2 linked regions of the Saccharomyces cerevisiae S288C genome follow. Changing the gene in region 1 together with any one later gene gives a genetic interaction. Each region holds a gene or a part of one and is shown in the gene's direction. Other genes may lie near its edges.

Region 1 (8,416 bases):
TGATCATTTTGAATAAACAAAAAAAATGTTTCGACCTAGTATTCGATAAATAAACATTTATTTGCTGACAATTTTTAAGATTTCATCGTCTCAAAAAGATAATATAATTTATTGTGCACAATATTTTGGATTTCTCTATGAGCAACTCAACGATCTTAGAGAATAATACTATTGTACGTTGTATATAATAAACATTGATAGCATTAGCACTATACAATAGGAAATATTCGACTCTACTTCCGAGAATAATGAAACTGGTCTGATATAATATTTGGATCACCGAAAGCTGGCCAAGAGATTGCTTACTTCCAGTGATGTGGACGAGAAAACCGTGTGACACCGTCCGCTACTTTCTACTATTGTCAGTTGGTCGGTTATTTGTGCTGTGTCATGTATTATGTACCTGGTCGGAGATCTTATAGTATATTTTGAGTATTGCTATTTGGAGTCTTCATAACGGCTTCTATGAAAAAGATTCATTTGTCGATATAAATATCAAATAAATATCATTAGCTCTTAGAAATATTTGAAAAGTACATACTACTTTCCACGAATGTACAGATTTATTTATCAGGCATGCTGCTGATATCGTCACAGTAGTTCAGTAATAATCATCGCTCTTGAATAACGCAAAAAGTATATTCTTAAGCTCATCTGAATGATAAGCCTTTTTCACTTAACATTTGCTTAAAATTTTTAGCAATGTACTGATACTTTCTCCTAAATCAACTGTATTTTAATTCGTTCGGAAATCATGTTTATGTCAAAATTTACTAGCCATTCCAATAATGTATTTATTATTAAATATATATATACTTCAAGGTCTGATGGGGGTGCTGTAGCATTTGCGATGTAGCGATAGCAATTGAAAATAAAGTGGGCTCCTTGTAATAATGCGGCTGGTAAGGTTACATTGCCGTTGTGTTTCGAGGTTATAATAAAGACAGCTATATCATAAAACGAATAAAAAAATATGCGCATGTGAATGACACACGAAAGTAATCGGATTGACGTTGCTTATAACAGGTTGAAAATTAGAGATATCAAACCAAAAAAAGGAAGACAATATCATTGACAGAATTCAGTGTGGCGGTGGATTGATTTAGATTGACTCAAAATTTTCGACATTGTCTGGTTGACGATGCCTTGTTTAATTGCAAAAGGCCTTCGAATTTCATTTTATTTCTTGCATCCAACTGAAACCCACCATATTAAAGCATGACTTTTGCATGACTATTTTTCAGTCTTAAATGCTTCAAAGCCAACAGTATGTCAGTAATTAAGTCCAAACTATTTTCAACAAACGTACCGGTCTCGGCTCATTAATAGAACTTCCGTTCTTCTTTTTTCAATTTAAAACAACGTAGATATATATTTTCATTGTTATATACTCGAAATTAACGTAATTATATAGATCGTGAAAAGTTAAAAAAATCATTTGATTGGTAAATAAATAAGTGCATTATACTGTACGCACAACTAAATAAATAAGGCACACGCATAATTGACGTTTATGAGTTCGTTCGATTTTTTTAATATTCATAGGCTTTCTTGATAATGGCAACCACTTGTTCTTTGGTGAATTGAACTGGGTTAGTCAAATGGCAGGCATCATGCATGGCGTGTTCAGCCAAAATTTCAAAATCTTCGGTTTTAACACCTAATTCTTTCAAGTTTCTTGGAATGTTCATGGTTCTGTTTAAAACGTGCAAAGCCTTGATGGTTTCTTCTGGATCTTCTTGAGAAGCACCGAAATGCAAAGCAATTTCACCTAATCTCTTCTTGGCCTTTGGACATTGCATGTTGGCCTCTTGAACATGAGGCAACAAGACAGCGTTACAAACACCATGAGGCAAGTGGTAGAAACCACCAAGTTGATGAGCAAGGGCATGAACATAACCTAGAGAAGCATTGTTGAAAGCCATACCTGCCAAGTATTCAGCGTAACACATGTCAGTTCTGGCCTTCTTGTCTTTACCGTCTTTGTATGCAGCGACTAAGCTTTCATTGATCAAATCAATACCCTTCAAAGCACAGGCATCGGTGATTGGGTTAGAGGCGGTGGAAACATAAGCTTCGATACAGTGAGTCAAAGCATCTAGACCAGTAGCAGCAGTCAAAGCAGGTGGCAAACCAAACATGGTAGATGGATCGTTGACAGCAACAGCTGGAGTGACGTTGTTGTCAATGATAGCCATCTTGATTTTCTTTTCTTCATTAGAGATAATAGTGAATCTGGTCATTTCGGAAGCAGTACCAGCAGTAGTGTTGATGGCAAATAGTGGTAAAGCAGCCTTCTTAGATTGATTGACACCTTCATAGTCTCCGATTTCCCCACCGTTAGTAGCCAATAAAGCAATGGCCTTAGCATTGTCGTGAGCAGAACCACCACCAATGGAAACAACAATTTCAGAGTTTTGTTCCTTCAAAACCTTCAAACCAGCTGTGACATTGGCAATATTTGGGTTTGGTTGAGTTTTGTCATAGATAGCAACGTTTAAGTCACGTTCTTCCAACATCTTTTGGACTCTACCGGAGAGACCAATAGCTGCAATACCAGGATCAGTAACGATCAAAGCCTTTTTGTAATCCTTGTTTTTGATGTAATCAGCGGTTTCTTCTAAAGCACCTTCACCAAAGAAAGAGATTGGTGGAATGTAAAACCCAGTAACGGAAGACATTTTTCTTATTTGACTATTAGTTGTTGCAAATGTAAACTTGTTGTTGATGGTTGTTTTGCAATAGACAGAAGAAAAACGTTTGACTCCAGTCTTTAATAAACCAGAAATGCTAATAACCCTTTTATACATGTTGGTACGCTGCCCTTTTTTCCTGTTTGATAAAAGAATATATCCTAGTAGTGTGAGATATTTGAGGCAGCAAAATATCAATTGCTTTGTAGAGTTAACGGCATACGTGATCCCAAGCATCTGACATATTAAACACGTACCTCGTGATGCGCGAACTAAAAACTAGTTCTTTTTTTTTTTTTTCATAGCTAATCCACTGCGGTGATACTACAGCCATCATCACAAACACTGCTAACAGTTATAACCATGTCAACATCACACTACAAAAAATGGCCTCCTTGGAGAAAATAAAATGGAAGCTCATTGAAGGCCTCCGGGGATCCTTCTGAACACAAAACGCAATTTCAAATCAGCAGCCTCAATTATACTGGTTGCTTAACCGTGAAGGTTCATTTAAGTACTTCTACTTTTTACAAACGCTCGATAACCTTTCAAGTAGTGCGCATAACAGCTGATGCATTAGAAAAAAATTTTCACACGATAGAACTGTAACGCACTACGAAACTAAGCAATATGGCGTAAACACACAAAGACTAAGGGACTTCTTGATTGATTTCTATCAGCAGCGTTCTCCGAATTGTAAATAATAAGTACATTATTAGTGGGCCTTAGGCAACTCTTTGAAACGGAAATTCTTGTTTACATTTTTCATTTTCCCGAGACGAAGTTTTGATGAGCCACACAATACCGGTAAAGAAAGAAAGAAGTACCTGGAACTAAAACAGTGCTAATTCTTCTTTCCTTTACTTTAGGGGTGGGGACCATCGAAGTGGGGGGAGACAGCAAATCTCTCAATTGAGTAAAATATTCGCATGAGTGTTTGCAAATCCGCAGTGACAGGACAAAAGTAGCCCCAATAGTATTTATCGAATATGAGAAGAAAAAATCGACTGTTTATATTAGTTGTACTACTGGGAATTGTGTTAGTAGTATATTACTCTCAGTTGAATTCGTTAGATTTGGTAGAACCAGTTCAAAGTAGCAGCAGTGGCAATGGTGGCTGCTGGAGTTACTATGAAGGTCTTACGCCTGGGTGGTTGAATGACTTCTACGACGTAAATCAAATAACCCCGAATCCTGCAAAAGATGTGATTGAACTGGTTACGAGGATTAAGATTTTTTTTAATTGCTTGCAGCAGGTTGATGGGCATAATATTCAGCGTTTGAGGGATATTGAAAAGAAGCTCTTTCCGTATATTAACTTTGAAAAATTAGAAACTGATGAAAGTGCCTTCTGGCACACAACTACGAGATGGAATGGCGAGGTTTACCATGCGTCTATGTTGGAATTTGACCCCAAAAACCATCAATTCCTTCGTTCTAAGCCCATCAATTTCGATACAGGGCTATCTTTTTGGGAGAATTGGTTGCACACTGTGACTCAAAGTGGTTCGAAAGGCATAGTTATTAGTGCTTCTGACGTGCAGTTGAATGAAACCATACGCTTATTGAAAGTGTTGAGGTTCATCAAAAATGATTATCCTATACAGATTGTTCATAATGCAGATCTGAGTCAAGATTCCATGAAATCTATTATCAAATATGCGAGAAGTCTAGACACCGCTGAATATCCTGCTCAAGAATTATGGTTTTTAAATGTACATAGTCTGCTAAACCCGAAATATTCGAAAAAATTTACCACCTATTCCAACAAGTGGTTAGCATTGACCTTCTCATCCTTTGAAATTCCTATTCTAATGGACTCAGATACAGTGCCCTTTGTTTCAATAGAAAAATTTTATGAATTAGAGGAATTTCAAAAGACTGGAGTTCTATTCTTTAAAGATCGGGTAATATCAGATGATCTATTTGAATCCTCTGAATTAAAAATTCTAAGGGAAATTGTCTATGGGTGTATTGGGCTTGATTTAGAGGATGAATCCAAGATACATGAGCAAGTAGAGGATCCAGTGGTTGCACAGGTTCTGGAAAACATGTTTATAAAGAAATATAAACATCATTTGGAAAGCGGCCTGGTAATATTGCATAAAGGAAAGCATCTCTTCAGTATGCTTACTTCAATAGCTTTACAATTTTCTCCAATTGCAGAATATTTTCATGGTGATAAGGACTTTTTTTGGCTGGGCGAATTACTTTCGAACAATCGCTTTACGTTCCATCCTGTGGATGCATCAAACATTGGTCAGTTGGGCAATGTAGTTTCAAAAGAGAGTACCGGTGAGTTTTACCAGATTTGTTCTGTGCAACTATCTCATACAGACAGGGACGGGTCCTTGCTATGGCTAAACGGGGGCCTTAATATTTGTAAAAAAACTTCATGGGAATACGATTATGAGCATAGACAGAGACTAAATGATATGTTCCAAAATGCAGATGAATTACGTGAATATTATGCATCACCAGTAAAACTTGAAGGGATTATAATACCAGATACTAGTATATCAGGATGGATTAACTCAGGAGAGTGTTTTTTGTTCAATTATTGCACATTATTCAAGGAAGGTGAGTTTGGAAAGTTGATCAAATTTAAAGAAGACGAAAAGCTCCGGCTTTCACAAATAGTCGACATATGGAATAAAGATATTTGACCAAGAGTTGTTCTAGTCTTATAAGCAATAGGTAAACCTACACGCTTTTGTTGTATAATGTAGTATAATTTTTGATATCTGAAAAATTATCGCACTGAAGTATAACGTAATGTTTTGTAACGAAGTTACTCTTTAAGTAAATCACTCTTGGCATGCATTGGATAACATAGCCATGATGCAACGCCAGCAAAAATCCAAATTGATTGCAATAGGGAACTATGAAAAATCTGGTACTCCCGGCCACGCTAAAATGATTTTCCACTAAGGTGTTCCTAAAACCTTTCGGATCCTTTATGTCTCTGGCATCATAAATGTCTGTTTAAATTAAAGTATATTGAATTGGTGTTGAAATTCAGCATAATCGAACCACTCTCATGTGGGATGTAGCATCATTCTTAACGCTTTTACTATGCGATCGCCACTTTTAAATGTTGGAAATTGTGAATAATTTACTTTTATCTTGTAGGCAAACCGATCATATTCTGCAAAATTTTGAAAATCCATATCTAGATGCACTGTATTGCACTTTTATATTATAAAGAATTATATGTAATAAATCGACAATAAATAACGCATCGTAACAAAAAGAACTCGAAAATTTTAAATCAGGGTCAGAAGAAAGTAGAAATGCCTAAAGGAAATCGATTGTACTTTACAGTTAAAAATAACTTCCGCATGGCTTTCTCAAAAGATTTTTGTCTATAACGAAAATAATCAAAACATATCTATAAGTGAGGATGTGAGAAAAGATTAATCAAAACCAGCTTCTGGTGGACAAACGGCCTTTAGCTGAATGGCGGTACAATAATCTGGTAATGTGTCATCCTTACCGAAAATATTCACAGCTGGGGTGCTTAAGATAACAGAAGCAAAATTTGGGTAACAGGAAGCAACTTGAACGCCATAATCGGTAGAGTTGAACAATTGGTTAGCTAAACCGGTTATGAAGGAAGCGTTATCAGCAGTGTCTGCCCAAGAGTTATATTCAATTTCACCAGTAACAGTGTTAGCAAAAGGAACCATAGCGTCACCAATGGATTGAGGGTTACAAGTGTTGATATTGGTGGTGAAGATGAGTGGAGAAAAGTTCTTTGTCTCGTTACTAGCAATAGTAGTCAACTTTGGGAGGAATCTTGTTTCCTGGCCCAAATATCTTGCCCAAGCATCACCAGCGCTTTCAGTCAAGACGTCGGCGCCAACAAACGTAGATTGACCCAAAAATGTACCGTTTTGACCAACGACTTCCATAACGTAGGTACCACAATGAGGTCCATGTAGGCCCTTACAGGTAACGTTAGTCAAATCAAATCTGACGGTTGTTGCAACAGAAATAAGGACGCTGAAAAAAGTAAAAATGCTTAGGAAACTCATGGTATGGTTGTTGTTCTTGATTTCTTGAGATTGTACAATCTATCAGAAGCAGTAGCTCTCCATTTTGAATGAAAATTACGATGCTTATATATCAATTATACCTGTTATATGCTGAAAACCTTAATGATAATATTAACCTTTTTCTAGCAACTGAAAATACAGATCTGGAATATGTTTCTATATTTCCAACCTCAGCGGTTATTCGAAAAAAAAAATAATTGACCCGCAGGGTGTATAGGTAGTTGATGAAAGTATCATTGTTTTTAATTTATTGTTAAAAGTCCGAAAAGCGAGAATGCATGAAATTACTACCTTCCATTCCAGGAATAGAAGCAACACTAATTCAAAAGCCCGTTTAGGAAAGATCCGAATATTTTGACAGTAGTACGTAATGAATAACCACTCAGGTCATACTAAGACAAATTTTATAACATTTTAATGTGTTCCTGATTTGATTATGCAACACTTTTTTTGACCCAGTCCAAAAAACTGCCGTAATGTACTTCATTGGTTGTCGTACAAGTAAGCTTTAACATGGTTCTCGAAGTCAAAGCACAAACATGCGGCCAATAGGTCAAAATAATGGTAAGATACTGCAAAACTCACTTCACTTGATTGAAAAAAAGTTGCTTATTTCATGACGGACAGATTTAATTCTGGACAATTTGGTTCTGTTGAATTCGGAAATGCTCAGGGTTCATCATGCCATAGTGCCACTTCAATAGAAGACAATACCTTTGAGAAAAAAAGGTACCTTGCATGAGGTATGATGCACGGGTGCACTGTTTAAAAAAACTTCAAAGTATACATGTAAAGATCGCTATAGCTGAGCGGCCAATTAGAAAATATATGGTAAAAGAAAGAAGAAGTATTAATATAAGCGAGATATCTCAATTGGAACATTTCATATACGTTTTCACTGTAATAATTTATCAAGGACTCTCCGGAAATTTTGCGATTGCCCTCAAACTCTACGGAAGAATTTTACACTTGTAAAACTCATCACATTATCTATCGTAGCGATAATATTTCCAAAAATGTATAATCCTTCCTTATAAGTTTATTATTTGTATATGAAGCCGCAGAGTACAATGTAATAAATACGAATAGGAGATAGGACCTATGAGTATAACTCGTATTACCACTATAGCTCCTCTTGTTGTCTATCAAAAAACTTGCTGTCTTACACAGTAGTACAATGCGAAACTATATGGCTCTTCTTTAATTATGAAAGAAAATAAGATGTGAAGCACAGCAATGAATAGGAAAAAGAAGAACGATATATGCAACCTTTTTTTTTTTAGGGGCCATTTTGCTAGAACTGCCCCCACTTGGGAAAGAACTAACACCATCGCCTTGCATTCCAGTGACAAGCAATGATGTGTACTGTGAAAATTCTAAATACGAGGTTCAGCTGACATTAATAAAATCTCCTGTCCCGATGGAGCTATCAGACTTATATACCGACATACTGGAGTATCCTGGAGCAAGGGGTGGCGCTGGGACACTATCGGAGATAAACTCAATATATTAAGTCATTCAAAGTCGACACACAGTAAAGTATCCTGACTTTTGAGCAGTCAAAAGTGTAGCCTTGATCATCAGAGTTATATTTCTCATTAAAACTCTTAATAATCCAATTTACAAATTTTGTAGGTAAACAGAATATGTACCGGAATTTAATGG
Region 2 (3,719 bases), on another chromosome or scaffold:
AGGAACATGTAAACACGAAAACTGACAGCAATATTCTCGATTATCCCACCATAGGCGATTTAGTTTCCTCAGTAGAGAAATTATGTGTCTTGAAAGAATTGAAGATAGCATTTCCAGAAGTAGATGATACATTAATTAAAGCCATTTTAATTGCCTCCCAAGGGGTTTTGGAGCCGGCATTCAATTCTTTACTCTACTACTCAAGTCCGGAGGAAAACACTGACTTTGCATTACCAATGAAGCCGATAAGTGTGGAAGACTATAGTAAAATAAATGTGTCTGAGATTTTGCAACGTGAAATATTCGATGATATTGAAGACGAATTTTCTGGTCAAGGAATAAATGGCTCCATGGTAATTTCAAAAATTGAATCAGAACTAAGTTCTTTGGCCGAACACATTGGCAACATTAGCACCCCCGGATCGAATAGAGAAGTCGCCGAATCGACTAGGAACGTGGCTGTTGCAGAGGGCCATAATACAATTTTATCAAACGAAGATAGTATACTCAAGGGAAAAGAGAAGGGAAAAGAGGAGGAAAAGGAGAAGGGAGAAGAAAAGGGAGTTAACAGCTTAAAAGGCGCCGCTGTGAAAGTTGTTGCGAAGTCATTGAAGAATAATCGCATTCCCGTCACTGTGAAGAGAAATGAGCCTTCAAACAATTTATTTGACGTTTTAAACTGCGACGAAAGCGAGGAAGAAGAAGAGCAAGATGTCGAAACCAATACGTCGAATCAAGAAAGGAAGAACCAGGGCGGTAATACTGAAGTGCCGGAGGCTCAGCGTGACAGTGCAGATAGGTTACCTGCCAAGGACGACGGTGGATACAAATCTGCCTTTGGCACTGATAGTTGTGGTCTATTTGCAGCTGACGCTAAAGATGAAAAAAAGCAGGTTCATCCATCTAGACAAGAATTAAGTTTTACGTAGTGTATAGCGGTAATGTTTATTAACTCTTTCGGCAAAGTGCGTTTGGGCTCGCAATGAACAGACACCACCATTGCTTCTTCTGCGCTTATTTGCCTTTGTTGTATATCTAGTTCTCAAAATGGAGTCATTCATCAGTCGATGTGTGGGCGGAAATGACGTTCATCTAGCAATGGCACACTAGTTTTTACTCAACAATTCAAACTCAATGGAAAGCCAGGAAGTTAGCGCCGGGAAACTTCAGGACAATATAAAAACAGGACTAACGGAAGAAAATAATGTGGGCCTTTTTGAGCAACGCTGACGGTAAGTAGTTTCCTACGATCGTACAATCCCGGAAAATTGTAGTGGTGCAAGAAGGGAAAAGAATGATGGCGAAAAATGCACGCGCGTAAATAATGATTTGTCGAGTCCTATTGACCACAAAACCCGCGGAAACCTAGTTAGCCCAAAAGGAAATGGATAGCATATGAAAAACGAAACGAAACGTCCTTTTGCACGGCAGAAAGAGCTTAGTAGGACCCGGGACAAATGCAAGTTAGATTCCTTGATTCCCGAATGCTCGGTCTTGCGTTTCGCCGTGGCTGCATGGAAGGTCATCGTACGGGTACGGGCAGTCTGGCTGAGTGGTGCCGCCAAAGTGCAATAGCTGTCAGTAGGGCGTGAGGAATGTAAAAGGCAAGAAAACATGTACGAGGGAAGAGAAGGGGGCAAAAGAAAGATAATAGGAACGGTGTAGATGAACTAGAAAAGGTTCAAGAGATGATAAACGTGAAGGGAGTGTCATATCTACCGACATAAAGATAGAGATCTTTTTTTTTCCTTTATTTTTTTTTTTGATTTTTTTTTTTGATTTTCTTGATATTAGTTTTTAGAAGTCCTTTGACGGGGCAGCCGGAGAATATATACCAACGGCATTCTATTGTCTTTTTTTCTTCCTTCCTTGCCAGGCATCTGCATCCATTATTGCCTTTAGTTACAATGTTTTTTTTCCCGAAGCTTAGAAAACTTATAGGTTCAACTGTGATCGATCACGATACCAAGAACTCATCAGGAAAGGAAGAGATCATGTCAAATAGCCGATTAGCACTTGTTATTATCAACCACGCCTTTGATAAGGTACTATCTTTGACGTGGCACTGCGGGATATTATCCGAAATAAGATCAGGACTGATGTTAATGTTTGGCATTTTCCAGTTGATGTGCTCTTTGGGTGTCATCGTATTGCTGTTGCCTATTATCATACTGGACGCGATCGATCTATTCCTCTACATGTGCAGGTTGCTTGATTACGGTTGCAAGTTATTCCACTACAATAGATCATCATTACCGGTGGCAGATGGAAAAGAAAAGACCAGTGGTCCCATAAGCGGAAAGGAGGAAATAGTTATTGATGAGGAGATAATTAATATGCTAAATGAATCCTCAGAATCATTGATCAATCATACTACAGCTGGTCTGGAATATGATATTAGTTCAGGTAGTGTTAACAAAAGTAGGCGTTTGAATTCAACTAGTACAGTTACATTTGTGAAGCAGAATAAACTTGTTAATGAAAGGAGGGAAGACGCCTACTACGAGGAAGAGGATGATGATTTCCTATCAAATCCGAATTATGATAAGATATCATTGATCGAAAAATCATTCACGAGTCGTTTTGAAGTGGCTTGTGAGCAGAAAGCTGCTTAAATTGATAATCAAGGTCAAGGCAACGCAACGCCACTGCTAAGAACACTTATTGCTACAGAAAGGAAACTAAAAATAATTATAAGGCTAGAGAGAAATAAAAACAAAATAAGAGAGATAATATGGGTAAGGGTCTGCCACCCATCTGATAAAAGGCTGTTCTATCTTTTGGAACTCTACAACACAGGTAAACGGATGATACTGGCTATATTTATATAGATAAACAAACTTGCAGGACAGATAGTTAAGCGTCTATATCATGTGTATTTTAAGCGAAGAAAAAAGTACAAAAATGATAAAAGGCAAAAAAGATGAGAAGTTTTTTTTGTGATAAAATTAATTATTAAAAAATACACACGTAGTTAAAATTAACAGCGGGGGAGGAAACCTTAAGAGAAAGAGAAACAAAAAAAAAGAAAGGAAACAAATAAAAATGAGGGTGACCCGAACATGTTGATACCGTTTCCTAATACTGCTTCCTTATTTCATTTGATAGTTACTTTCGTTTATTGAATGAGCTTAATCTTGTAGGACAATGTACAAGGCATATAGCATACCTGGGAACCAAGCCAAAATGGTCAAAATGATATCCACTATACAGTCAGTACCCCACCCACGGGCTAGAAAAACGGCGACTGGTGGTAAGAAAAGGGATAATATAATGTTAATGATCTTGGCAGAATCCATTGTTGTATTGTGCTGTGCTGTTTAGTTCAAAATGTATAATCAATTGTATTATACTGGCGAAAAACAACAACCGATAGTAAATTTTCTTCTTTTTTTCCTTTCCCTCTTCCAAAACAAAAACACTCACTTCCTCTTTTGTATTTATAGAGGCGCCCATCGCAAAATAACCAGGACCCCCTTTTGAGGGCGTGGTTAAAGGGCACCCAGAGCCCACACCCATTGCATCTTCCGCTATTAGGGGACTGCGGAAGTGAGGGGAGCAGTAAATAGTGATCTTTGTAATTTTCTGCAAAATCCCTCTCGCTGTCTCGGGTTTTTCGATTCAGAGGACCTTCCCCCCCCCATGTTCCGAGATCGGTTTTGGTGGTTAGAAGGCCGGAGGAAAGACATTTACCGCTTGCGCGCGGCTTCTTCTGTATG

Evidence for each region. A genetic interaction does not mean that the proteins touch.
Region 2: of MNT2 (region 1) and TLD1, extra expression of one rescues a mutant of the other (dosage rescue), as found in Saccharomyces cerevisiae (one study listed by BioGRID).

What each region holds. Positions count from the first base shown.
Region 1 is NC_001139.9:9,424-17,839, reverse strand, and holds MNT2 (alpha-1,3-mannosyltransferase MNT2), read left to right. Parts: upstream 1-3,682; coding exon 3,683-5,359; downstream 5,360-8,416. Other genes in the region: alcohol dehydrogenase ADH4, read right to left, coding at 1,533-2,681; VEL1 (Vel1p), read right to left, coding at 6,110-6,730. UniProt on the Saccharomyces cerevisiae protein: Mannosyltransferase involved in adding the 4th and 5th mannose residues of O-linked glycans.
Region 2 is NC_001136.10:1,010,345-1,014,063, forward strand, and holds TLD1 (triglyceride-associated lipolysis regulator TLD1), read left to right. Parts: upstream 1-1,907; coding exon 1,908-2,615; downstream 2,616-3,719. Other genes in the region: DON1 (Don1p), read left to right, coding at 1-929; YDR274C (uncharacterized protein), read right to left, coding at 1,245-1,616; PMP3 (Pmp3p), read right to left, coding at 3,132-3,299.